Linked DNA regions of Daphnia pulex. The protein of the gene in region 3 purifies or fractionates together with the protein of the main gene of each other region. This does not show direct contact. Links are inferred from orthologs where the notes say so. Each region holds a gene or a part of one and is shown on either strand. Other genes may lie near its edges.

Region 1 (5,012 bases), on a different chromosome or scaffold from region 3:
AATTCTTGGCAGAACTGAATGGATAAAATGACATAACAGTTTTGAGAAATTCACACAAATGAATAAAATAGGCATTACCTATTGTAAAGGGAATTGATAAATTTGTAGTGGGTTATTCACAAAGTGAGCTGGGGCAGTCTAATTTTATATTTTTTATAGACATGGCTCAAACACCAGTATATGATGTTTGTTGTGATACATTTCTTTGTTCCTAGGCTGTTACAAGATCACCACGGTTTTCTCCCATGCACAGACTGTTGTGGTGTGTGCTGGCTGCTCAGCAGTGTTGTGTCAACCAACTGGTGGACGAGCCAGGTTGACTGAAGGTAAATGATTCAATATAACAATAATCTTGATGTCTCCTGAAAGTAGCAGTGTAGAATGTTAAACAGAATTCATGTTAGTTTCTTTGCAAAACTAATCAAATCGTTTTCTATTCAGGCTGCTCTTTCCGCAGGAAACAACATTGAAGAAATATGCAGTTTGGCCTGGCTGCACCTTATTGTACTTCATCTAAGATACCATTCATATGTAAAGAGTGAATACAAGTTGCATTGTCAAGGCTATTCTGAGTCTTTGTTTAACTGTCTGAAAAGTATAAAGTGTATCTGTGCAAATAAGCCTTAACATGGCAAGTCTCGTATAATTCCTTCTAACACGCAAATCGTAAAGGGTACATCTTAAAACCGCGGACATGTTGGGACATGTCTATGCTGCAATGCTAATATGACGTCTTATTGTGCAACAGACGATTGACACGTTACGGTCGTGACATTAAGGACAAAGTCAATGTATGAAAATTAAACCTGCGAGTAATGTCCGACTATCCAAAATAAATATTTCATTATGACTGACATTGACATTTCCTATTTATTTATTTAAAATTTTGGAATCAAAGTTCTAAATCTGACCACAAGATGTCTAATTGTCGTTATTTGTTTCGTCTGTCTTGACAGATCGTGTGTGCTGAGTACTTGTTTCATTCTTGAAATCTAATTCTTCGGAAATGATCAAAGCTATACTCGTGTTTAACAATCATGGAAAACCTCGTTTATCCAAATTCTACCAATATTTTGTAAGTTGAAAACGTTTAGGCGCTTTATACTATTGAAACTAACAAGTGAAGTTGTGACAGAATGAAGACATGCAACAGCAGATTGTTCGTGAAACTTTTCAGCTTGTTAGTAAGCGCGATGATAATGTCTGTAATTTCCTTGAAGGTGGAAGGTATGTTTAGTTATAATTTGTTATAAAAATAGTTTTTAATTCTGAATTTCAGTTTGATAGGAGGATCTGACTATAAATTGATCTATCGCCATTATGCTACTTTATATTTTGTGTTCTGTGTTGATTCCTCTGAATCTGAGTTAGGTATACTAGATCTCATTCAGGTATTTGTTGAAACCTTGGATCGCTGCTTTGAAAATGTTTGTGAACTGGATTTGATATTCCATGTGGATAAGGTACATTTATTTATTCCTTCACTTGTCAATTGTCTTTTAATTTTCTACTATTTTGATATCTTCTAGGTTCATTACATCTTGAATGAGTTAGTCATGGGAGGAATGGTTTTGGAGACCAACATGTCTGAAATTTTAAGTCGGATAGAAGATCAAAATAAACTAGAAAAATCAGAAGCAGGGCTTATTAGCCTCAAGAATGTGAATCTTCCTAATTTACCCAACATTCCTCAGCAGATAAAAGATATTAAACTTCCAGATCTACCTCAAGCTATCAAAGACTTAAAATTCTAATGCAATGGCTCTCAATTCTAAATAATTTTTGCTGTATTGAAATACACCATATATACGTTTAAATTATGCTGTTATTATTATTTTATGTCTTTTTATCAAATTCGTATGTTTATGTTTTATCAAATTCGTGATTCTGAACGTGATAGATGGATTAAAGATTTTCGTGAAAAAAAAATAGCTTTTAGTACTGTACGATAGATGGCCATTTTCCTATTCAGTTTGAACATAACTTCCCGCTTTCAAACAGCGCCTGCTGTATTTTCCCATCTCGCCGCCATCATTCGTCGTCTGGCCAGTTAATACCTCTGTTCCTCTCTTAAACAACTAACGTGTATTTCAATTGTTGGTGAATTTCAGTGATTTTTCTCACTTTAAGAAGCATGCTTGAGTGATCTTTGATCAACTAGAGACTTAACTAGCAACATTTTCTCTCTTTTGGTAAGTTATTCGACTTTATTCGTTATTCATCTCGTTAATGGTTTTCTTGGGCATCACGGCATCACGAAGAATTTGCAAGTTCACGCAAGATGTTTATTTGATGGAATGGGAATGTTTCAGCGTCGTTTTATCGTTATCAAAACCTGTTAATCGCGTAAGTCAAATAAAGTACGGTTTTGACGTTAATTATAGAAAGACATGATCGTTTAGTATGTGTTGAGCTCTCTAGGATCGAACTTGGGCTGTTTGAGCGTGGCAACACAGCTGATGGTTTGTGTCCCTTTACCCAACCCCATCATTCTGGATTTTCTTACCTCCCTCAGGCTACGCGTTTCCGGACCTTTTGAGAGCAGGCAGGCCAGGCCTCTCTACCCCCTCTCCCAAACAACACCCAACCCCTCGTTTCGCTGCATCCCGATAGTGCAGCATTGCCGGTTTACCAACTAGTTTATTCGCATTTTTAGAGTTTTTTAAAAATCGAAATAAAACGTCATTTTCCACATTTCGAAATTGTGTTTATCGCAAGTGACATGAGAACGAGCGGCGAATATTGTTATCAGAGTTACAAGTCTTAACGCGATCGATTGTTGATGGTTTCCAGCGCCAGCACTAGTCGCTCCGTATCAGGCATGGCGAGTAGTGTCGGTAGTTTCAGACGCCAGCAAATTCGAGTCACTCTTCGAAAGAGCACTACAGTGAAAAGCCTCTGGGTCGTCGTCACCTAGTTGTGAGAGATCCCAGACGACGTGTGTGTGTACATGTTTGCCTCTGCTCTCTGTGTGGCATAGTGAGAGATTCCTGAAGAAAGTGAACGCCATTTCTTCTTCATCGTGAATTAAATTGAGTAAAGGGTTTGCAACTCGAGTTTCACGTGATTCGACCGTTAGTGTACTCAATCCGGCGATAGTTTCTTGGAACTATCCGAGCTTAAACGAGAGGGGGAAAAACGACGGCCATAGTTTCTCTTTTAGTACTACTGCTGCTTTAAGCAGAAACACAGTGTAAGCGTCGGCGTTGTGTGAAACTTTCGATCTTCGGTTTTCATAGTTTCTTCACATGGACATTCACCATTCATTTACGCTGCTTAAAGGTGACCTTCATTGACCTTACGTTTTCTTTGATTTCTCGTAATCGACTCGTTCATTTTAGTCGTGTCTTGGTCGTGATTGCTCGTCTTTCATTTCCCATTCTTTTAACATAATTTACTTGATAACAAATGGTTGACATGGAATTGTAATGATCTAGATTTGAACAGAGGAAGAGTTTTTAAGTCCCGTGAGACTTGAAAACTTGTAGCAAAAGAAATGTCTTATTATGTGATGTGACGTGTGTTGTGTACGGCATTCCTGTGCTCATTGCTGGCCAAAGTGAAGCGGAGACCGCTCTTTTTCGCCTTTCGATGAGCCAATAAGAAATCGGTTTCAAACCGCTTCACAGCTGTTCTGAGGTTGTGCGTCTCCCTTCGAATTCTACCCAATATGGAGTCGGTCCACTTAGGTCGGCGTTATTATCGAAGCGCTTCGCATCCACTATTTCCTCCAGTGTTTAGTCTGCGTTAGTTCTGCTGCAAAGTAAAGTCTATGATAATGGTTTCAGAGGGAAAACAGTGGAATATCGCTATTTTTTCATTGTTACAGAGGTTGTTGGATGCATGACGAAAACGGGATTTTTGTTGATTGAACGTGTCTATTGATAGGTACAAGTCCGTTCTGAATGGTCTAAAAGCGGTTTTAGTGGGACCGCAACGTTGCCATATTTAGTATACTCCGTCTCCCACATACTATTTCCGGAAAGCATTTGAAATCTCGTGGCAATTGACGTTTAATTTCGAACATCCCTTTTAAATGAACAAAACTGTCTTTTTAAATTTATTTGCAGCAACAAATTTCAGTTAATATTTCTTTAAATCCAGTTGTTGTCTGTAAATTCCCGATTTCCTTTGTCCGGCAGCAATGTTGTCGTTTCTCTTTGGGCGGGAAAGGCGGTGGGATCGATATTTGTGTTGAGACCCGAGGAAGAAGACTCCCGGGTTAGTTGAATAATCGATCCGTCCGCTGAGCAACAGACGCAGCTCTGCAAAAAGTGTATTTAGCTTAAAAATAAAAATGACTCTGAAAACTGCATTGCTGGCGTCCAGTGGGATTTGTTTACTAACTGTCTGTGATTTGTGTTCTTCTACAGTCGGCTGTCTAAGCAATGCCCTACAGCTGGATTGAGAATGAAACGCAACGAAGATTCCGTACACATTTCGCCCTCCGCCGTTGAGTCTGTAGCACGACCATTGAGTGGATCAATCCAGTCCGGCCGCGTCTCCCCTACGTCACCTATGGTGAATGCAATACTAGTTGGAGACTTGAGGAACGCTGCAAATCAGTTACAGGTACATCCTTTTCCCATAGTGTTGCTGTGCCTGTATACTCAATATATTCATTGCTAAATAGGAGCCCTCCATAGCAGCAAGTATGGCCTCTTTTAGTACAAGTGGGTTTGTGGCAGCTGCGAATGGCAGCACCACAGTTACAATTGGTCCTATTGGCACCAGCCCACCAGTGCCATTCTCTACTACTATTCAAACAACGAAAGCCTCCACTGCTGGTGGAGCAACACAAGTTGTGGCTCAGCAACAACACATCTTCCATCAGTCCCTGGCACATCAACAAGCACGTCACAGTTTGGCTACTGCTGCTGCCCCAGCTGGATCTCCTCCGACAGGTCAATCAACATCTCAGCAGACACAACAGCAGCAACAAAATACAATGCAACAGGCTTTTCAGGTGAGAAACTTTAAACATTTAATAGTTTGTGTGTGTCCGTTATTGC
Region 2 (4,928 bases), on a different chromosome or scaffold from region 3:
TGGAAATAGGCACAGTTTTTCGTCGGGGTGTATACGGAATTTTTTGATAATTTTCAAAATAAATTGTTTTGGTGTTGGCTGTGTGCACACACACACAGCTCGCGAATACGGTGGCGTGTGTGTGCGGGACTGCTGCACGACTGAAAATGTAGGTCAAGGCCTCGCTCTGCAGTGAGCCAGGGCTCTCTCACGAACCGAATAGTGTGGGCGGCGTTGCCGAAAAAGTCTTTTTTCGCCTCCTCTTCTGCTGCTGTGTGTGTGCTGATTTCCCTTTTCGCTGGCTTGACTTGCGACGGATTTGACACGAAATTATTGCGGGTGCACTCACGGACGACTGAGGGTTCGGGAGCGACGCCTTTACCTCACCAGGTGATGCGTCTCTGATTGGTGCACCTCTCGAGGGCTCGGGTGTTGGCGGGTTATACATGGTGGTAACTTCTTTTTCTACCCTCCCCTTCTTTTTCGTGGTAAAAATTACTTACACAAAAGTCGTAACAAACGGACGCAAATAAGCGACGAGTTTAGGACATTCAGAGCCACCTATCAACCGAAACTAGCAGCTTGACCGAAAGTGTTTTTGTATTTTTTGTCTTCTTTTCGGGTGTACACAATTATTACGAGGCGGGAAGAAAAACAGTTTAAACAGTACGTGTGAGTGTAGTTGTTTGTTTTTTTGGCGTCTTTTTTATTTTGACGGGATTATTTGATAGACGATACAAATGTGGAAAAAAAAAGCTTTTTCATTCAAAATGGAATTTTGAGTTAAGTTATGATGTCTCCATGGCGACGTCAGATTCTGTAAAAATGTTATTTTTCAATGAATACACAAAAGAAAATCTCAGACGTAATGATTCAGGTACTTACTTGGTTCGTCCTCTTCGTTAAACATGAATTCATCTTGAATGTCCTTCAGATACTGGGTGGAACGGGTTTCATCCAGGAATAGCGTGTACGCCTTTTTAATATCTTCTACGGCAATCTATTTAGATAAGAGCATAAAGCAAATGATTAATAACGTGCTGTCTGAATACAGTCTGAATACCAACCTCCATGGCCTTTCGTTTGCGAGCTATGAGATTAGCAACCGTGATGAGCTGAATGGCATAGCGTAAGCTAGTTTCCAAGGAAAGCCTCGTCAAAACGAGTAGAGCATCTTCCGTCATCTCGGCGTCTTCCTCTTCGCACCTGTGCAAAGAAAATATCAATTAAGGCAAAGCCAACGCATCAAATAATTGAAATGATAATTTTACCGGATTTTCAGAATTTGCTTCATTTCCTTTTCCACGTACGGCTGCGTGGCAATGATCACCATCCGATCAAGCAAATCAATTGGGATGCCGTGGGGACTCCGATATTTGGTTCCGCGAATTTTAGTAATTCCACGATTAGTGGCCATAATCAACACTGGCGCCATATCATCTTCCAGAGCACGATTCAAAAATGAAAAACATTCCATGTCTAGCATGTGCACCTACGTCGAGACATGACGGTACGAATAAATATATGCAGGAAGGAGAATGGTATGAAGATTTAATCACAAACTTCATCAATAAATAAAACTCCCGGGACGATTTCCGCTTTGCCCTCTTCGCGCCATTCGGCGACTTTGCTATTGATCTGGTCCCGGACTTCGGATTTGATTTCACCAGTATCCCCTATTGAATGCAAAACAAGAGATTTAATTTTGTAAACTTTCAAGGTCGGGAAATTAAAAATGTATGTGAGCTCACCAGAGAAGAGGGCGAGAAAACCCTGAGTTCTGCTATTGATTACGTCAATCTCGTGCAAGGTGACTGTGTGAGTCACTTCTTTCCGCTTTTGTAATTCGCCTACGTAAATAGAATAGGAGTGGTGTAAGAATATCGTACGATGTCGTCGTCGTCGTCGTAAACCACTTGACCAAAACTGGAATTTAAATAATATACCTTCGGGACACTGAACAAATCTGGTTTGCGGTCCAGTTGCGTCGTAATCCCTAGCCCTAGTGAACGATCGTCCGAGTTTCGAGATCTTGCCAGTGGCTTTGTCGATGGTAATGACGTCTCCAGCTTGGGCCTGAACCACACAAAGATATGTATACAAAATTGAAACACTTTTGTCAAACAAATTACACACCTTTTCCTTGATGAGGGATTCAATCATTTTGTTGCCCAAATCGTACACAGTTTCCATGTCTGTTGTCTTTAATGTCAGCTTTCCAACTTTAGCACCAGTTCCGGTAGCAGGTCTATCAATTTGAACTTCAACAACCTCACCCTCAATGATCTCAGTTTCTTCTCTGTTGAAAACAAATGAAAAATAAGGTTACAAGATTTCTAGGTTGAACAAATTTTGAGTTCACATCTACTTGATTCGAACTCCAATAGATTTTCGAAATGCTTGAGTTAGAGCTTCAGTTTTGCTCATTTCAAGGCTGTAGATTTCCGATCCGGCCATGGATGTGAAAGGTGTGTTGTCCCCGAGAGCCTGTGCCATACCCATGGCAATTGCAGTTTTGCCTAAAAAGTAAACCAAAGTGTTATAAACCAAATAATGGGATGTTTATTGCAGATTCAAAGACAATGTTAACCTGTTCCTGGCTGTCCAGCAATCAATACTGCTCTCCCCGCAATTTTTCCTTCTCTAATCATTTCCAGTACCACACCAGCAGCTCGTCGTGCTGTCAACTGGCCAACCATGCCTTGGGACACCTAACAATCATTTTGATATGTAACTTGTACGATTCTTTTATTCAAATTATTCAAAAGTACTTCTCTTGGTTCCAAAGCATCATCAAGTCCAAGACCTCGAATGTGAGAGTGAGTACCGATTCGTTCAATTCGAGAGAATTCTCGCACTTCTGCTACTTTAACTGATGGGATCGCCTAAAAAATGAAACGATATGGTCCAGAAATAAAAAAAGCACACAAGGGAAACGGAAAAATTAGCCATTTTATCCAAAATAAAGAATTATAACACGTGTATATATTACCGCCATGATTTGCTTTTTACAGTGCGTTGAGTTTCCTATCCTTCCCGTTCAACGCCGGTGGTATCCATGGAAACGGTTTTGAATTGATTGTTCGCTTTACATTCTTTTTTAAAGCATTTGTAATATTATACATCAACATTAAATTTTATTAAATTAAATTATATGAAATTTTAAAACACTTATCGACTTATTTACTACTTTCCTCGAATCTTAAAAAAATTATCAAACATGGCAATGCTGATTTTAGCTCCAACTTTCAAAGGCATAAAAAGGAGCAATGATTTCTTGACAAAAGCTCATTAGCTAGCCTAGTGGCTGTCTGAAACACATCTTTGGTGTCGATTACTACTTCAACGCAAACGTAATCAAATTTTTTTTTAGATTTTTTATGCATATATTCGATTATGATTGTTTTACACAAACCATTTAGCATCTACTGACTTTTTCCAAATGAAAATTTTAGAAAATGTGGAATTCAGAATGTTATAAAGTAAAATTTGTTGGATCAGAGACACGTGCATTTTCAGGACAAACGTTAAGTGAATTCAGTGTACATTGAGTGAGACATAGACTTAGAGAGATTTTCATTTTTGTAACGGGATTCCCAAACGGGAGAGAAAGAGACTTGTGTTACTTTTCACATGGAAAAAATATACCTCGATTTTTGTAAATTTTCATTCTTTTGTAGATGAACAGTTTCATGGTTGACATAGTATTTTAGCAGGGTTGTTACTTTAAATGTAAATAACAAAACAATTATACATTTTTGATTAACCGTGTTTCGCTGTCACCGTCTTCCGTAGTGTAGGTGTTATTCCGCCAGTAAAGTAATCTAAATAGCTCAACAAAACCAACTGAACACTGTTCTTTACCAATTTGCCAGCTAATTTGGTTGTTTTTCTAGGCAAGTCTTTGTCTGAAAGCTAAAAATGGGAAGTAATCGTTCAAAGCATTAGAAAGAGACGACAAAAAATGTGTGCAAATCAATTTGCCATTATATTTATTACGTACTATGTTGTTGATATATATAATCCTTCGGTGAAAATTGCCGCGAAGTCCCAAAACGTGATATTTGTCAATTTTTCTTCCTTCTTCCGCAAAGTTAATTGGGGGCCTGGCTTGTACTACTTCCAGCCGATCTGCAACCTCGTATGTAGTAATTGTTCAACGAATGATTAAGAATTCATTAATTATTTCGTAAAACAAGAGGCTTACCAAAAACGACAAAAGCAGAGCTCCGAATAACAGAGTCTGGGACACCATGTCGCGATTTTGGTTTTAGTCAAAGTGGCCGAAAAATTTAGCCAGGTGTTTGTTTTATACCGCCAAGTTTGTAAAAGGTAACACCTGAAGGCATTGTTTCACTTAAAAAAGAAAATTCTGCGACCCATTTATCAAAGGAAAAAATCCCCTATTCCCTTGGGTGACGAAAACCAAAACTTGATATGTAAATGAAACAAGTTGGTTGTTTTTCAAAAGGTTAAATTGGCAACTAGAAATCATCAGATTTCTATATGTAGATTTATGTTTATACAGTCGCTTTGATGGTATAATAAATTCGACGTTGTCTTTCGACAAGTTGTCCGTCTGATGGCTTCATCGAAGCAAACGTGTAATCATTAATACAAATTGATTCTAGTTACGCTTATCTTGTTCTTTTCACGACAATAATTCAAATACTACAGATAAGAAAATATTCTGCGTAATCAATTGCCAGGTTTATTCAGGATAATTTGGACAATGGGAAGAGGATGCGTAATCCACTTTGTAGACCGGTTTATTCGGGGCATTCCCCCGAGAACTGTAATTGCAGACGTAAAACTGTTTGTAAGGTTGTCCGGGCGTGAAAGGATATCCGTTGTAATCGTCGTAGTATCCAATAGCTGCACAGCCGATGTGAGTAGTTTCAGCCCAAACCATTTGCGTGTAATGGCCAATAACTTTACCGTTGTTTCCA
Region 3 (3,921 bases):
TTGAATTTTATCCGTCAGCTCACTCCAGGTAATTCAACTTCAACATCCATCGACCCAACATTAAAATTTTTTTAAATTGCCTATAGGTCTATCAAATGACCGGAAAGATATAATACTACCAGTTTCTCAATTGGCCGTCAGTCGTAATACAGCTGATATTGCATGCGCTGTCAATCTGGACGATCAGCAGTCTCGGCTGGAATTGAGGTCAGTCAATGGGCATTTGATCGGCATGACAACGACGAATCCTCTCATTACTTCGTTGTGTTTCTCATCTGCTCCCGAGGGAATTTCTATCAATGTGGTAGCTGCCGGGCTATCCAATGGTCGCATTAGGTAATTCATCAACTAATAAGTTTGTTTTTGTTCCTACTTGTTAATTGTTTTCTCACTACAGATTGTGGGATACTTGGACCCTAAATGTCGTACGAGATATCATCACTGACTCCTCCTTGTCGATAGTCAGTTTGACATATTCGAGCACTTCACAGCATTTACTAGCCGCTAGAAACGATGGTTCTCTGCTAGCTTGGGATAGTCCACATAACCACAAAAAATCGCCTCGCTTCCCACCCTTTATCAATTTAACTTTGCAATGATGATACTTTTCAAACCCGTAGATATGATATGTAAACGCGATTAAAGAGGAGATTTTCATGATTTTAATCACAGGAAATTCAAAAAAGGATAGAATCTCTTGAAAATTTTTATAAATTTAGCTTTATAATGTTACACATGCAAATCTGAATATAATTACGGTAATCTATTCGCAAGAAAGTGATGAAACTTCATTTTTAAACGAAATTTTGTCTTTATTGGCTCGAACTAAGCACATAACAAGGATGTATCCAAATCACTCTCAGCTTATTTGCACAGCGAATGAATCAGAGCAGGGAGAGGGTGAGGTGGAAAAGTACGAAAAGAGAGTCGAATGAATCAGGACTCATGACACAAAATTGCGATTTCCTAGGTCGCAGAAGGTACAGAGACACACAAACAGTCAATATGAAGCAGATCTCAATAATTTAGCTAGACAGATGTTTTCATCTTTTTGTTGGACCGTTTCCCTTTGGTACTGTTTTCCCTATCAGAACCTTCAGAATCTTCCTGATACTTTCCAGCCTCAGCTTGGGTATGCATGTCACCTACATTAAGCATTTTGGCTTTCTCCAGGGAGCGAACTTAACAAAGAAAAGGTTAAATGTTGTACTGATGCAAAACAAAAAAAGTAAACATACTTTGAGTTTGAAGGACTTCATTTTGCCTTTTGAGATCATCAATATCCTGCTGGTGGGCTGCATTTTTCCGTCTCATGAATTGTATATAATCAGCTGCCTTCTTCAGTATTTGAGCACGGCTCGCCTGAAACCGAGAGCCATCCTACAATTTTATTAAGTGAGATTTGCTCGACACTTATGTTTTACTTTTTCTCCCTGTAACGAGGGAACTGAATCTCGAAGTCCACTGAAGCTATCCTTGATGTGATCTCTCCTTTTCCGTTCCAAGGCATTATGGTGTGCTCTTTTGTCAACCTGTTCATCCAAGCACACAAAGTGTTGATAAAGAGCTCTGTGCCAGGTAAAACACACAAATAATATCTTACTTGCTGAGAATACTGTCCAGAGCCTCGTGAATAGCCACCTCCATCCTCCTCCTACAGCAGATGATAGAAAGTAAGTTTTAGTAAGTGAATGTTTTAAAAGAGGTCAATGCAGCTAAACCATCTTGTTCAACAACTTACATCACTTTCGATATCTATATCTCGTTCATCATCGCTCATCGATGGGGAAACGGCATAGGACATGGTCGTAATCAAGCCAGACAAACTAGGGTTACCAACAAGAAGACTTCAAGCTAAGGGATCAAAATTTGCAGATTAGGGCCAAAACACTTCCAACGCAATAGTTACGTTCAAGGTGATCGAGATAAGAAACTGCTATACCAATTTGCTTAAAGCCTGATAGTCGATTTCTCTTTGTGTAAACACGTCACGAGTGTGGGCAAAGTGTTGTATTCACGAGACTAAACAGCAAGTGAACAGCGCATCGAGTTGTTGAGGTGCACTTGCGATGTTGCCAAATGAGCGCAATTCATTCCAACAGCAAAATTGTTGCCAACTTGCTAATTTCGCCCGGCAACAAGGACGACATTACGACAAGGATATTTATAATTCTTTACAAAATTAAAACAAAAAACTCCTTAGTCCTTATTATAAAAATTTGACGGATTCTGACATTTTTATTTGATTGGCGGAGGATCACTCAGAGTAAATGCGGCAAATAATAAACTATTGTGCTTCAAACACATGTTTGATGACAAAGTTGAAAATTATGGAATGCAAAATCTCTTCTCCAATCAAGGTGTGGTCACATATAAAAGGTGCGCAAGAATATACCTGCGTTAGAAGAACCACACGCGAGAAACGCTTCAATGTCGAGCGAGTAGTGAACCGAGGAGGTCATCCACTTGACTGTTTCCACATTCCACTAACTGCGATACGCTGATTTTGGGTGCGGGCAAACATAGTTTTAAAATGTCTCGCCAATAACACGCCCAAAGAAGTATAGTGACCTCCACATTACATTAGCGTTTTTTAAAAAATCCCAAAATGATAAATGATGCCCAATATTCAACCTAACACGCTAAAACAACTAAAACCTTATAACTTATATTTGATTGTCTTGGCTTCTCTTGACTGAAGGTTGTCGTCACACACGTGCATGCCGAGTGTACACCCATCACGGAGAAGAGAGTCCATATGAATAGGAAAAAATTCAGACCCAAAAAACCTTTGAGCGCTAGACCACGTATATCTTATTCCATGATTAGAATCCCGAGGCGATTGTTGCGCCAAAAGGAGAACCAGAATCTCTTGTGTTAAGGTCATTGTAGGAAAAAATTTATAAAATGGGATACTCGTTATAGTGCGATTCCTCCTCACGTCGTACCTTCTTCCAAATGGGAAAAAAAAACCGGAAAGTTTGAAGGTTGCGAATGGGGTGTGTCGGATGAGACTTGAGATGTCCATGAGATGATATTCATTGGAAAAACTAGAAGAATCGTGTATAACCAGCAGCAGCAGCAAAGCCTTGATGGTCAGTCGCGTTGTCTTCACATTTGATGCCATTCCTTGTTTAGTGTTGAGTTGGCGTCGTGCAAGTTGGATGTGCTGTTTTAACCTTTCCATCAACTTCTTTTTGTTCACGGATAACAGGAATTCAAAAGTGGATTGAACCGCGTCATTTTGGTATGAACATTTCATTCAATTACAGACTTGTATTTAAAACAAAATTTCCTTTATCTTACACCGTTCGGAACAGAAATTGAAGAAATGTCTGCTGAAGAGGATTACAGTGCTGGTTTGTTGGAGAATTCCCATAACAAAAAGCCGACTCACTCTCAGGTTATCAAAGAAGTAATCAACTGGTTTTACGGGCCCGATGCAGGAAAGCTCAGTAAAGAATGGAGCAAACGACTTTTGCGGCCGAGACCGCGTTTGACGCAGGCACTCAGCACCACCACGCCGGAATATGTCACGTACGACACGGCCAATTACCCCGTACTACACGGGCCATCCGCCAGGATTCCCTATCACGTCATCATATTAGGAGGTGTTTTAATCCTGGCCGTCTTTTATCTTTTACTTTTCCTCGTCATCAGTCGTTTACGGTGTTGTAGAAAGGTAAACCAGTTATTACACTATTTCTTGGGGAATTTCATTATGAAATATTCGCCATTTTTACAGAATCAACAGCGAACGGCTCGCCGGAGGAGCAGGGAGACTTGGAGGGAAGCCAATGGATTGTATCACATTGAAGGAGATGTGCTGGGCAGTGGTAATGTCCATTCTTCTTCGCCCAAATTGGGTGAAACAGACGATTCGCCACCTCCGTCTTATGAAGACGCTATGATTGCCTGCGG
Region 4 (4,708 bases), on a different chromosome or scaffold from region 3:
GTCGGTGTCGCAAGCGACGTGTTTCGAGACACCCGAACAATAGCCTTTTCATGGTTAGTGCTCATGAAACCGACGACCATCGAATCAGTTGTGAAGGCCATGTTGAAATCTATCGAATCTTCGCTATAATACGCCACTAGAACACCACCCATCCGGTCATAGACGTCATCAGACAGCATTTCTGAATGGATGAACTCGTCACACATGAGCTCTTTCAAGTGGAAAGCCGGATCTCCTCGCTCTAATATGGTTTGACCAAGCTTCTTGGCCAAGGTTGTTTGGATGAGTTGCTCGCCACAACCAGAAGTTGACACAGCAACACCACCGGAGCTGGAATGCTGCGCCCAACAACCACAGCCGTAAACTGGCACCTATCGCAATATACACATTGTAAATGACTACTAAAATGACAAGAAGGAATAAAGGAAAACCTGTCCAACTCGGCCGGGAAGCTTCATAGCAATTCCTCCCGAACTCGATGCACTTGCAATGTCACCATTCGTATCTATGCAAATTACTCCTACTGTATCCTAGATTTAAAAAATAACCATGATATTTGGATAACATTACTTTAGGAAACCAAATATATTACTTGACTTGGGTTTGGCTGCACTGTGATCTTTAGCCCACTTGATAAAGCTTTTCTGGATACTTCCAGCCGTTCTTTATATTTCTTATACTTTCTCATGGCTTTGTCAGATATAAGAGTGCTATTGTGAACAAGATTCAAACCTCGGTTTTTAGCAAAATCAGACGCTCCTTCTCCTACTAGAACACTAAAAAAAAGGCTGTGTTAATTTAACCACTCATTTTAAGTGATGCAAATGGTATTTTGAATTACAGTGGAGGTGTTCTACCAAGAAGTCTTGGTTCATTCTGGTATAAAATGATTTCTTTGGCTACCATTATAGGATTTTTAATACTTTTAAGTGATGAGACTGCTCCAAATCGTGTGTTTCTTTGATGTTTCAAAGACAACATGATTCCTGCATCACATTCAACTTCACCGCTCTCAGTGAGATTGGAGCCATATCCTGCATTAGTTAGTGGTGAATCTTCTAATATGCAAACCAATTCACACGTAACATCTAGTGCAGATTTTCCTTCTTGCAATAAAGCTGCTCCCTGGGAAAAACTTATCAAGTCAAACTATGAAACCATGAATCACTAATAGAAAGCCATGCCTTTTCACACGTTATTTTGCAAAGTTTTTTGTAAATAGCTTCAGATTTTGAACTATGGCAGCCTGCTCCAAGATGAATAGCAACAAATCCATACTGTGACATTTTTGCACTTTTATGGTTTAAATTTTGTCGAGAATTTTCATAACCGAAATTTCATTTTACAATTTGAAATGGGACTGATCGGTCCAGTTTGTGAGAGAGCTAGCAGAAGACTACCATTTCCAACCGGCAAAAGCGGCAATGTCGCTCATGGCCGCGCACTGTTGTTTTGAAAGCTTTTTCTCTAATGAAGACCGAACAGTCATTGTCAAAAATGAAAGAAGAGATTGTAGATAAAGATCTGTTTTCAGATTCAACTGTATGAATTTTTACATTATTTCATTAGAAACCATGTTTAATTTTGTTTATTCTATTATCTAGGCATCTGTTGTTGAAGGCTGTCGGTTGCCTGTACGGATGAGAAACACCGAAGACTGGCGTAACATTTGTTGCTTTGTTATCATTTTATAGATTTGAAAGTTTAATTGTGGTTTTTCTTTTGTTATCATTTAGCTCTAGCCGAAGTACTCAGTGTCAAAGATATCTGCAACATCAGGATGTTTTATGTCCATTACATCGACTGTAAGTTTTGTATATGCTATGTTTAACGATACATCATCTTACAAAATTTTTAATTCAACTCTAGTCAACAAACGACTTGATGATTGGGTCTCAGAAGATTTCTTAGATACGAGAAAAATTCAGTTTCCTAGAAAAGATGGAACTCAAGTAGGCACAGGCATGAGTACTCCTAAAAAAGTTGGAGGAACAACTGGTTCTTCCCGTCCTTCTTCCCCACTAGCTGCATCCAGTGCATCAGACCTTACTGTCAATGGGTCTGCTCTACTGGCTGCAGCAATACAAAAGAGAAATGGAAGAAAACGTAAAATTGGAGAAAAAGAAGAGCCCAGTCCAGGATCCATTATTCCAATCCCACCTGCCAAGAAACTTATAAGTAAAGTTATTTTATTTCATTAATTCTTTACATTTTTCATAAATTCTTTTAAATTTTATTTTTATAGAAATTGAAAAAGAATTACCAGCAATCCCCACTCTGCCACCCACCGTAGTTAGCGATAGTTGTGCTGTTCCTACAAGTAATTAGTCATTTTTTCTACAATCTATTTATTATATATAAATGATTATTAAAACTAAAATTTTCTGCATAGGTGATTCAGTTTGTGAGGTAGGAGATGCTAACTCTCCGGCCCCACCGTCCACCCCTGCACCGACTACACCAGGGCCACGTCAGTCGGGCAGTCTTGTTACACATCACGATGACGTTGTAACACGAATGAAAAATATTCAAATGATTGAACTCGGCAGACACAGAATAAAACCTTGGTATTTCGCACCCTACCCTCAGGTATGTCATCATCTAACGAACGTAAAGATCCGAAATGTTTACTATTCTTTTTCAAAAATTAGGAAATGGTTCACCAAGCTTGTATTTACATATGCGAGTTTTGTCTCAAGTACCGGAAAAGTGAAAAATGTCTAGAACGTCATCTGGTAATTTAAAATTTTACGATATATTTTTAATTGGATGATCAACCCTTAAACTTTTTCTACAGATGAAGTGCAATCTTAGACATCCGCCAGGCAATGAAGTTTACCGCAAACAGACAATTTCTTTTTTTGAAATCGACGGCCGTAAAAATAAAGCATACGCTCAGAACCTATGCCTGCTAGCGAAACTGTTCCTTGATCACAAGACACTGTATTACGACACTGATCCGTTCCTCTTTTACGTCATGACTGAAGTGGATGCACGAGGTTTTCATATCGTCGGCTACTTTAGCAAAGAGAAAGAAAGCTCGGAGGACTACAATGTCGCCTGCATCTTAACATTACCACCCTATCAACGGAAAGGATATGGAAAACTTCTTATTGAATTCAGTGCGTACAGAATCGTAAACCCAAGGGGAAATATTTTTTTAAAACCATTTTTGTTTACGTAAAGGTTACGAGCTGTCCAAGTTCGAAGGCAAAACGGGCTCGCCAGAAAAACCTCTGTCCGATTTAGGGTTGCTGTCTTATCGCAGTTACTGGGCTTTTACAATCTGTGATATTCTGATGAATATGAAACCATCCAGTGAAGGTGAACGTCCTCAAATTACCATCAAGTAAGTGATGTAAATTACTTCATTCTAGAGCTCACGTTGACAAACGAATTCGTTTTAATTTAAATAGCGAAATTTGCGAAATGACGAGCATTAAAAAAGAGGACGTGGTGTCCACCTTACAGCATTTGAACCTCATCAATTACTACAAGGGGCAGTACGTACTCATTCTGAACGAAGAAGCGATGAAAAATTGCATAAAAAACAAAGAGAAATGGAAATTACACATCGATCCCAAATGCTTGCACTGGACACCGAAAGACTGGTCCAAAAGAGGGAAATGGTGATGAGATCGCACCTACAATCCATTCCGCGATCTTGCTACTTCTTTGCTTTTTTTTAAAAAATACACTCACAATTTCTATGTACAAGAATTCCAAATTCAAATGTCCTGTTTCTCTTGGTTATTCTTGTCTGTTACGACAACAGCTTCACGGTTCTCGTATGTCCAAAATCCATCCAAATCAATCAAGATATTGATCACAGTTTCACCGTATCCACTGAGCCAGAAAACGTTCAATGACAATCTTATTCTAAAAAAATTCTAAATGAACTTTGTGTGTTACCAGTTAATCAAATCATGTAAAGTGATTTTTGACGGATCGGCAGGACGCACCATATCGAAAATCTCATCATTGACGTCGTCAAAAGCAACGACTTCTTGTTTGTGCTGCTGCATCAACTCTTGAACCCCCTGCAAAGCATTTTTTTTTTTTTCAAGATAAGAAAGTCAAAAGGTCAAATGAGGAAATTAATACTTTGAAGTAAAAATGGAGGTCAAAAGTGTTGAGATGGTTTCGATGATTGACGTCCAACAAACGGAAAAAATACTGAAGTGCTTGTGGTTCCTTTTTATTGTCCATGGCCAATACGAAATCCAAGTACGTTTTATAATCCATTTCTTTCTCATAGGTCATGCACTCCTCGAATACTCGTTGAATGAAAACTCGCGTCAACGTGCCAGTTCCGAATCTGAAAATTAAATTTAAAAAAAATCTTAAATGTACGTACTGCAAATTGAAATATGGTAAATTACCGTCTGAGCTCTTCCTGACAAAGCATGCCGTTTCTGTTGGTATCTAAATTTAAGTATTGACCGTAGACTCTCAGAGCGGAGGGCGCAGAAAACCAGTTTGAATCCTGTGCATCTTTGGGCAGCTCTTCATCCCGTAGCTGATGAATTATAATATTTTTAGCGAGAAGAATGACAAAAGAATCAGGAATATACTAAATACCTCTAAAAGTTCGTCCAGAAAACCAGAAGCGAGAATATCCTGTATCCTGACTTTGCCTAGCTTTAATGGATCTAGGAAAAAGAGGAACTTGCGTACGGCGGTACAGACGTAAAACGAATGGAATGAC
Region 5 (4,010 bases), on a different chromosome or scaffold from region 3:
GTCCCAGGCATTAGTGCAGTTCCAGATGAACAAAATGCTCGTTATTTCCATGTTGTGGTTGCAGGTCTGTAAACTTAAATTGCAACCTTAAAGTGTCATTCTGGTACTGACTAGTTCATATTGATTAAAATTCATAGGTCCAGAAGGTTCTCCATTTGAAGGTGGTGTTTTCAAATTGGAACTATTTTTGCCTGAAGAGTACCCAATGTCTGCACCTAAAGTGCGATTCATGACAAAGATTTATCACCCTAATATTGATAAACTTGGCCGAATTTGTCTTGATATTCTGAAAGGTGATTATTTTTATTACTTTAGTGTTTGCTCTATCAAGATTGTCAAGTGTTATGTGTTCTATGCATGTATAATCTTGTGTTTTGGTTATCAGGGTATACCTGTATTGTTATGACATTTGTGCTTTGAATTTTTAAGTAACTGGGGAAAAAATCAGTTTTAACTTCAGAAAGTTGCATTTGCTTGAAAAACTTAAGTGTGTGGATTTGGCTTTGTTTAATATTTTCTAATATTTTCAGATAAATGGAGTCCAGCTTTGCAAATTCGGACAGTGCTGTTGTCGATTCAAGCTCTATTGAGTGCGCCCAATCCCGATGATCCATTGGCCAATGATGTTGCTGAGTTGTGGAAAGTCAACGAGGTAGAAGCTATTCGTAATGCTCGAGAATGGACCAGAACTTATGCTATGGGAAACATATGAAACCTGGATCTGTGGAAGGAAAAAGAGTAAAATTGTCAATCCGTTACCGAGAAATTGTGTTTGAATTTAGATTATTTTGCTTTCTTTTGTTCCTCGTCCATCAGCCTTTGTCGACTGATTCCCCTCCCTTCAATTGGTTGAACTGTCCCCGATGGTGATCAGCCAAAAAACTACATTTTGCTCGTTCTTATATCCCAATCTTCTTTTGTTTGCTCGTCAAAAGTTCTATCGACGGTTCATTCCAATTCACGCGTCGTTAAAATGATCGTCGATAGCCTACACTTTTTACCGTTTAGTACCACGAGTACCTCAAAAGGATACTAAAGAATAATAAAAATGCCGTCACCCGTGGAAGTCTAGAGTATCAAATTGTACAGCTGTGTATTTACTTGTCGTGGATGAGGAGGGTGAAATTATAAAGACGGATGAGAGCGCACATTTATCACGAAACGAAAACCATCCACTCGACAGACATAATCAATTTTTTACCAAATCTTCCCCGACCTCTTCGCACCGTTCAGATGAGGTAGGTTCAAACCGAAAAAGGGAAGCGAATATTGGTACTGAGATCCGATCAGAAACAGGAATTCCCAACACTCAAAAATAATCTCCAACATTATGGAATTTCGTGGTTACAAAAAAAAAAAAGGGAAAAACTTTGAATCCAGAATAGTTATAGACAACTGCCTCTTGGTTTTTCATGTATAGTTTTCGGTTTGGACGTCTGTCGCTCCAGTTCTATCTCACTGAAATTCGGTTGGGACCAAATTATAGCCTTTATAGATATTTAAAAATTATATACTTCTTGGCAGTTGAGAAAAGATCGGTATGGGGTCAATTGGGTGCGCAAACAAATACAGTTCAAATAAAATACCTCGAGATGCTAAATAATAATAAAAAAATGAATCACGAGCAACGACTTTAGTCAGTCTGAATGTTCTTGATCTGCAGGGGAAAGATCGTTGCCGTGATTGCTGGCACTACTGCTAGAACTACTGGTCGTGTGTCCAGCATCCAGATCAAGGTTACTGGGAGATGTTGACTTGCTGCTAATTTTTGGCCGAAACTCAGTAATGACTACTGTCACATTGTTCACTGTCACTTCTTTGTGCATAGCAGTGCTTCTGTCAACATTTTTCAACCTATTTTAAACAAACAATTAGCAAGTCACACTGAAGGATAGATATCAAATTTTGTTTTAACAATTTTATTAAAACATACCTTGGTCTGGCTTTACTGTTCCTGGTGGGGTTTCCATCTGATGATTTCCTCTCAGATTTATCTCTTTCTTTAGATTCCTTCTCTTTTCTATTTTTGTTAGCTAAGGAAGGATTGAACACTTGAGGTACCAACTGAGGATTGAGCCTTGGTTTCCTGAAAACGTGCAAGTTTTGTCACATCTGTTAAATGTTTAGAAATGGTAATATTGCTAAGGAAAAATTACCTGGTTGAGGTTCCTTTTCTTACATCACACATTGAACATTTAAATGCCTCTGCATTATTTCTGTAGGTACCTATGTAAATAATACAATGTTCGTCACCATTTGTCAACATCTTTTGTTTTCATATTGCGCTTTGTCAACTTACAGACACTGCAGTCCCAGTAATTTTCTTCAATTTGCTTGCTACTCCGCTTCGCCCTTCTTGAAGGTACAGAAACCCCCATTAATATGATTGAAATACTTATAACTAGCATAATTCATAGTTACAAAAATAAATAAAAACAAGAATATGGTCGGTCAAGGCTACACAATAGGTGTACGATTGTCCCAAGTCCTTCCCTCAAAATCGAAAGAAAATAAATGGATAAATTTACCTTGCATTTGGACTGCCTTTCTTTGAATCCATGATCAAAACGATGTGAATCAATCAAAATAATTCAACTACTCGCAAACTTCGAATTAAAATGTAGGAATGGCATTACAAAATACGTTATTAATACGCGTTATTCTGTGCTTTTCGGCTACAAACAAGATATCGATTATCGTGTGATCGATACGGAAACTTTGACATTATTTTCAAAACAAAACATTGTGATTTGGAAAGAATTTCTTTTTATCAAATGCTTTACACTATATAATAAATATTATGGGGTGCGGATTGAACACTTTTTCCAAAAAAACTTTTCAAAAATCGATTACCATATTTGATTTAAAAACAAATTGATAATCGTTTTGAATATTGAAATCAAGTTGAAAATAAATTCAAAAATTGAAAACGTTTTGAAAATGAATTCATAAATTGAAAATGATTTTGATAAATGAAAATGATTTTGAAAAATGTAAATGATTTCGAAAAACTAAAATGAATTTGAAAAACTAATATGATTTCGAAAAATGAAAACGAATTTGAAAAATGAAAATGAACTTGAAAAATGAAAATGAACTTGAATATCCATACAATTTCGGGAGTGCGATATGACACCACCCTACTCTATCCCCAGCTCTCTCCGGATGCTATAGCCACCCCGAGACAACCGACTAGCCATTGATGGCTATGTCGCTGATTCCAGCCAGCAAGGCCGTCAGCGATACTGTCAGCCCTTGCCGGGCGGTGCTGGCCACCGCTGCCGCCACAACGGCCGCCGCTAAAGTCTCTCTCGACCGCAGGCCGAGTATTACCCTACACAAAAATAGATTACACGATCCAACGTGAAAAGTTTCATGTTCCTGCAGTAAATGACACACAGCCTACCCAGCAACGATGAAGACGCGTGAAGACGGAACGGCCGAATGGGTGGCTTTCACCTGAGAAAAGTTCCAGTCACGCCTCGGTATGACGTTCTCGCGAAGTTCTCGTCATTCCACTAACTGCCAATTGCCCGGAAAGAAGTGTTCTGGTACGTTTCGCTGGATAGGCCTATGCGTCCTGTACTGCTGCGATACTCTGCCGTTCAATCCGACGAGAAGAAGAAGGCGGACACGCGACACGCCGTCTTGCTGACGTGGATCCTCATGTTGGTGCTGGCCCTGCTGGAAATTATCCGCTATCTAAGCGGATTGGGGAGCTGGACTTCTCTATTGTCTCTACGTCTTTGCCATGTGGTCCACTTGCGCCGGAAGTGATATACAATTGGGCCATTTCCAAGGAAGAGCTCATTGGAAGGATGGCTCTGTCTCAGCTGCAGCGACGGATTGAACACCAAAAATTGGCGCAACGTCTATCTTTTCTACCATCATGGAGGCAGCGGACATGGCGGTGGAGGCCAAAGAAGAGGATCCAAATGGTCATGTTGCTCATGTCCGTTTCAACAGAAAAGCTTTTTTTTCATGGCCGGCCTCAAATAAAAGTAGTCGTA

What was found.
Region 1: the proteins of protein max-like (region 3) and paired amphipathic helix protein Sin3b-like purify together in Homo sapiens (affinity purification with mass spectrometry; 3 studies listed by BioGRID and IntAct, with this or other methods). This does not show direct contact. The link is inferred for Daphnia pulex from reciprocal best matches to the Homo sapiens genes MAX and SIN3A.
Region 2: the proteins of protein max-like (region 3) and ruvB-like 2 purify together in Homo sapiens (affinity purification with mass spectrometry; 3 studies listed by BioGRID and IntAct, with this or other methods). This does not show direct contact. The link is inferred for Daphnia pulex from reciprocal best matches to the Homo sapiens genes MAX and RUVBL2.
Region 4: the proteins of protein max-like (region 3) and histone acetyltransferase Tip60-like purify together in Homo sapiens (affinity purification with mass spectrometry; 3 studies listed by BioGRID and IntAct, with this or other methods). This does not show direct contact. The link is inferred for Daphnia pulex from reciprocal best matches to the Homo sapiens genes MAX and KAT5.
Region 5: the proteins of protein max-like (region 3) and YY1-associated factor 2-like purify together in Homo sapiens (affinity purification with mass spectrometry; 3 studies listed by BioGRID and IntAct, with this or other methods). This does not show direct contact. The link is inferred for Daphnia pulex from reciprocal best matches to the Homo sapiens genes MAX and YAF2.

Annotation. Positions count from the first base shown.
Region 1 is NC_060024.1:9,531,577-9,536,588, reverse strand, and holds the start of paired amphipathic helix protein Sin3b-like, read left to right. Parts: upstream 1-2,000; 5' UTR 2,001-2,192; intron 2,193-2,699; exon of another isoform or gene 2,700-3,282; intron 3,283-4,373; 5' UTR 4,374-4,410; coding exon 4,411-4,572; intron 4,573-4,633; coding exon 4,634-4,966; intron 4,967-5,012. Other genes in the region: 40S ribosomal protein S27, read left to right, coding at 216-326, 442-470; AP-3 complex subunit sigma-2-like, read left to right, coding at 1,007-1,075, 1,136-1,227, 1,280-1,463, 1,530-1,754. UniProt on the Homo sapiens protein: Acts as a transcriptional repressor. Corepressor for REST. Interacts with MXI1 to repress MYC responsive genes and antagonize MYC oncogenic activities. Also interacts with MXD1-MAX heterodimers to repress transcription by tethering SIN3A to DNA.
Region 2 is NC_060021.1:8,103,416-8,108,343, forward strand, and holds ruvB-like 2, read right to left. Parts: upstream 3,074-4,928; 5' UTR 2,978-3,073; coding exon 2,972-2,977; intron 2,865-2,971; coding exon 2,751-2,864; exon of another isoform or gene 2,691-2,750; coding exon 2,570-2,690; exon of another isoform or gene 2,551-2,569; intron 2,499-2,550; coding exon 2,348-2,498; exon of another isoform or gene 2,309-2,347; intron 2,279-2,308; coding exon 2,116-2,278; intron 2,056-2,115; coding exon 1,926-2,055; intron 1,830-1,925; coding exon 1,731-1,829; intron 1,656-1,730; coding exon 1,543-1,655; intron 1,472-1,542; coding exon 1,251-1,471; intron 1,186-1,250; coding exon 1,047-1,185; intron 980-1,046; coding exon 865-979; intron 797-864; coding exon 768-796; 3' UTR 562-767; downstream 1-561. Other genes in the region: uncharacterized protein LOC124194162, read right to left, coding at 3,742-3,894, 3,983-4,117, 4,187-4,234. UniProt on the Homo sapiens protein: Possesses single-stranded DNA-stimulated ATPase and ATP-dependent DNA helicase (5' to 3') activity; hexamerization is thought to be critical for ATP hydrolysis and adjacent subunits in the ring-like structure contribute to the ATPase activity.
Region 3 is NC_060026.1:15,127,169-15,131,089, forward strand, and holds protein max-like, read right to left. Parts: upstream 2,117-3,921; 5' UTR 1,943-2,116; intron 1,855-1,942; 5' UTR 1,805-1,854; coding exon 1,742-1,804; intron 1,655-1,741; coding exon 1,604-1,654; intron 1,533-1,603; coding exon 1,425-1,532; intron 1,381-1,424; coding exon 1,239-1,380; intron 1,182-1,238; coding exon 1,030-1,181; 3' UTR 792-1,029; downstream 1-791. Other genes in the region: lysosomal-trafficking regulator-like, read left to right, coding at 1-28, 87-336, 398-599; uncharacterized protein LOC124205464, read left to right, coding at 3,332-3,682, 3,746-3,921. UniProt on the Homo sapiens protein: Transcription regulator. Forms a sequence-specific DNA-binding protein complex with MYC or MAD which recognizes the core sequence 5'-CAC[GA]TG-3'. The MYC:MAX complex is a transcriptional activator, whereas the MAD:MAX complex is a repressor.
Region 4 is NC_060018.1:12,585,989-12,590,696, forward strand, and holds histone acetyltransferase Tip60-like, read left to right. Parts: upstream 1-1,419; 5' UTR 1,420-1,470; coding exon 1,471-1,542; intron 1,543-1,604; coding exon 1,605-1,662; intron 1,663-1,736; coding exon 1,737-1,805; exon of another isoform or gene 1,806-1,869; coding exon 1,870-2,178; exon of another isoform or gene 2,179-2,245; coding exon 2,246-2,320; exon of another isoform or gene 2,321-2,392; coding exon 2,393-2,589; exon of another isoform or gene 2,590-2,651; coding exon 2,652-2,735; exon of another isoform or gene 2,736-2,797; coding exon 2,798-3,122; exon of another isoform or gene 3,123-3,186; coding exon 3,187-3,349; exon of another isoform or gene 3,350-3,416; coding exon 3,417-3,633; 3' UTR 3,634-3,720; downstream 3,721-4,708. Other genes in the region: threonine aspartase 1-like, read right to left, coding at 1-371, 432-530, 593-776, 842-1,125, 1,185-1,286; serine/threonine-protein phosphatase 2A regulatory subunit B'' subunit gamma-like, read right to left, coding at 3,729-3,846, 3,913-4,040, 4,105-4,318, 4,383-4,519, 4,582-4,708. UniProt on the Homo sapiens protein: Catalytic subunit of the NuA4 histone acetyltransferase complex, a multiprotein complex involved in transcriptional activation of select genes principally by acetylation of nucleosomal histones H2A and H4.
Region 5 is NC_060019.1:11,514,798-11,518,807, forward strand, and holds YY1-associated factor 2-like, read right to left. Parts: upstream 2,689-4,010; 5' UTR 2,561-2,688; coding exon 2,529-2,560; intron 2,356-2,528; coding exon 2,300-2,355; intron 2,227-2,299; coding exon 2,157-2,226; intron 2,087-2,156; coding exon 1,934-2,086; intron 1,855-1,933; coding exon 1,638-1,854; 3' UTR 1,077-1,637; downstream 1-1,076. Other genes in the region: ubiquitin-conjugating enzyme E2 N, read left to right, coding at 1-64, 138-293, 531-712. UniProt on the Homo sapiens protein: Binds to MYC and inhibits MYC-mediated transactivation. Also binds to MYCN and enhances MYCN-dependent transcriptional activation. Increases calpain 2-mediated proteolysis of YY1 in vitro.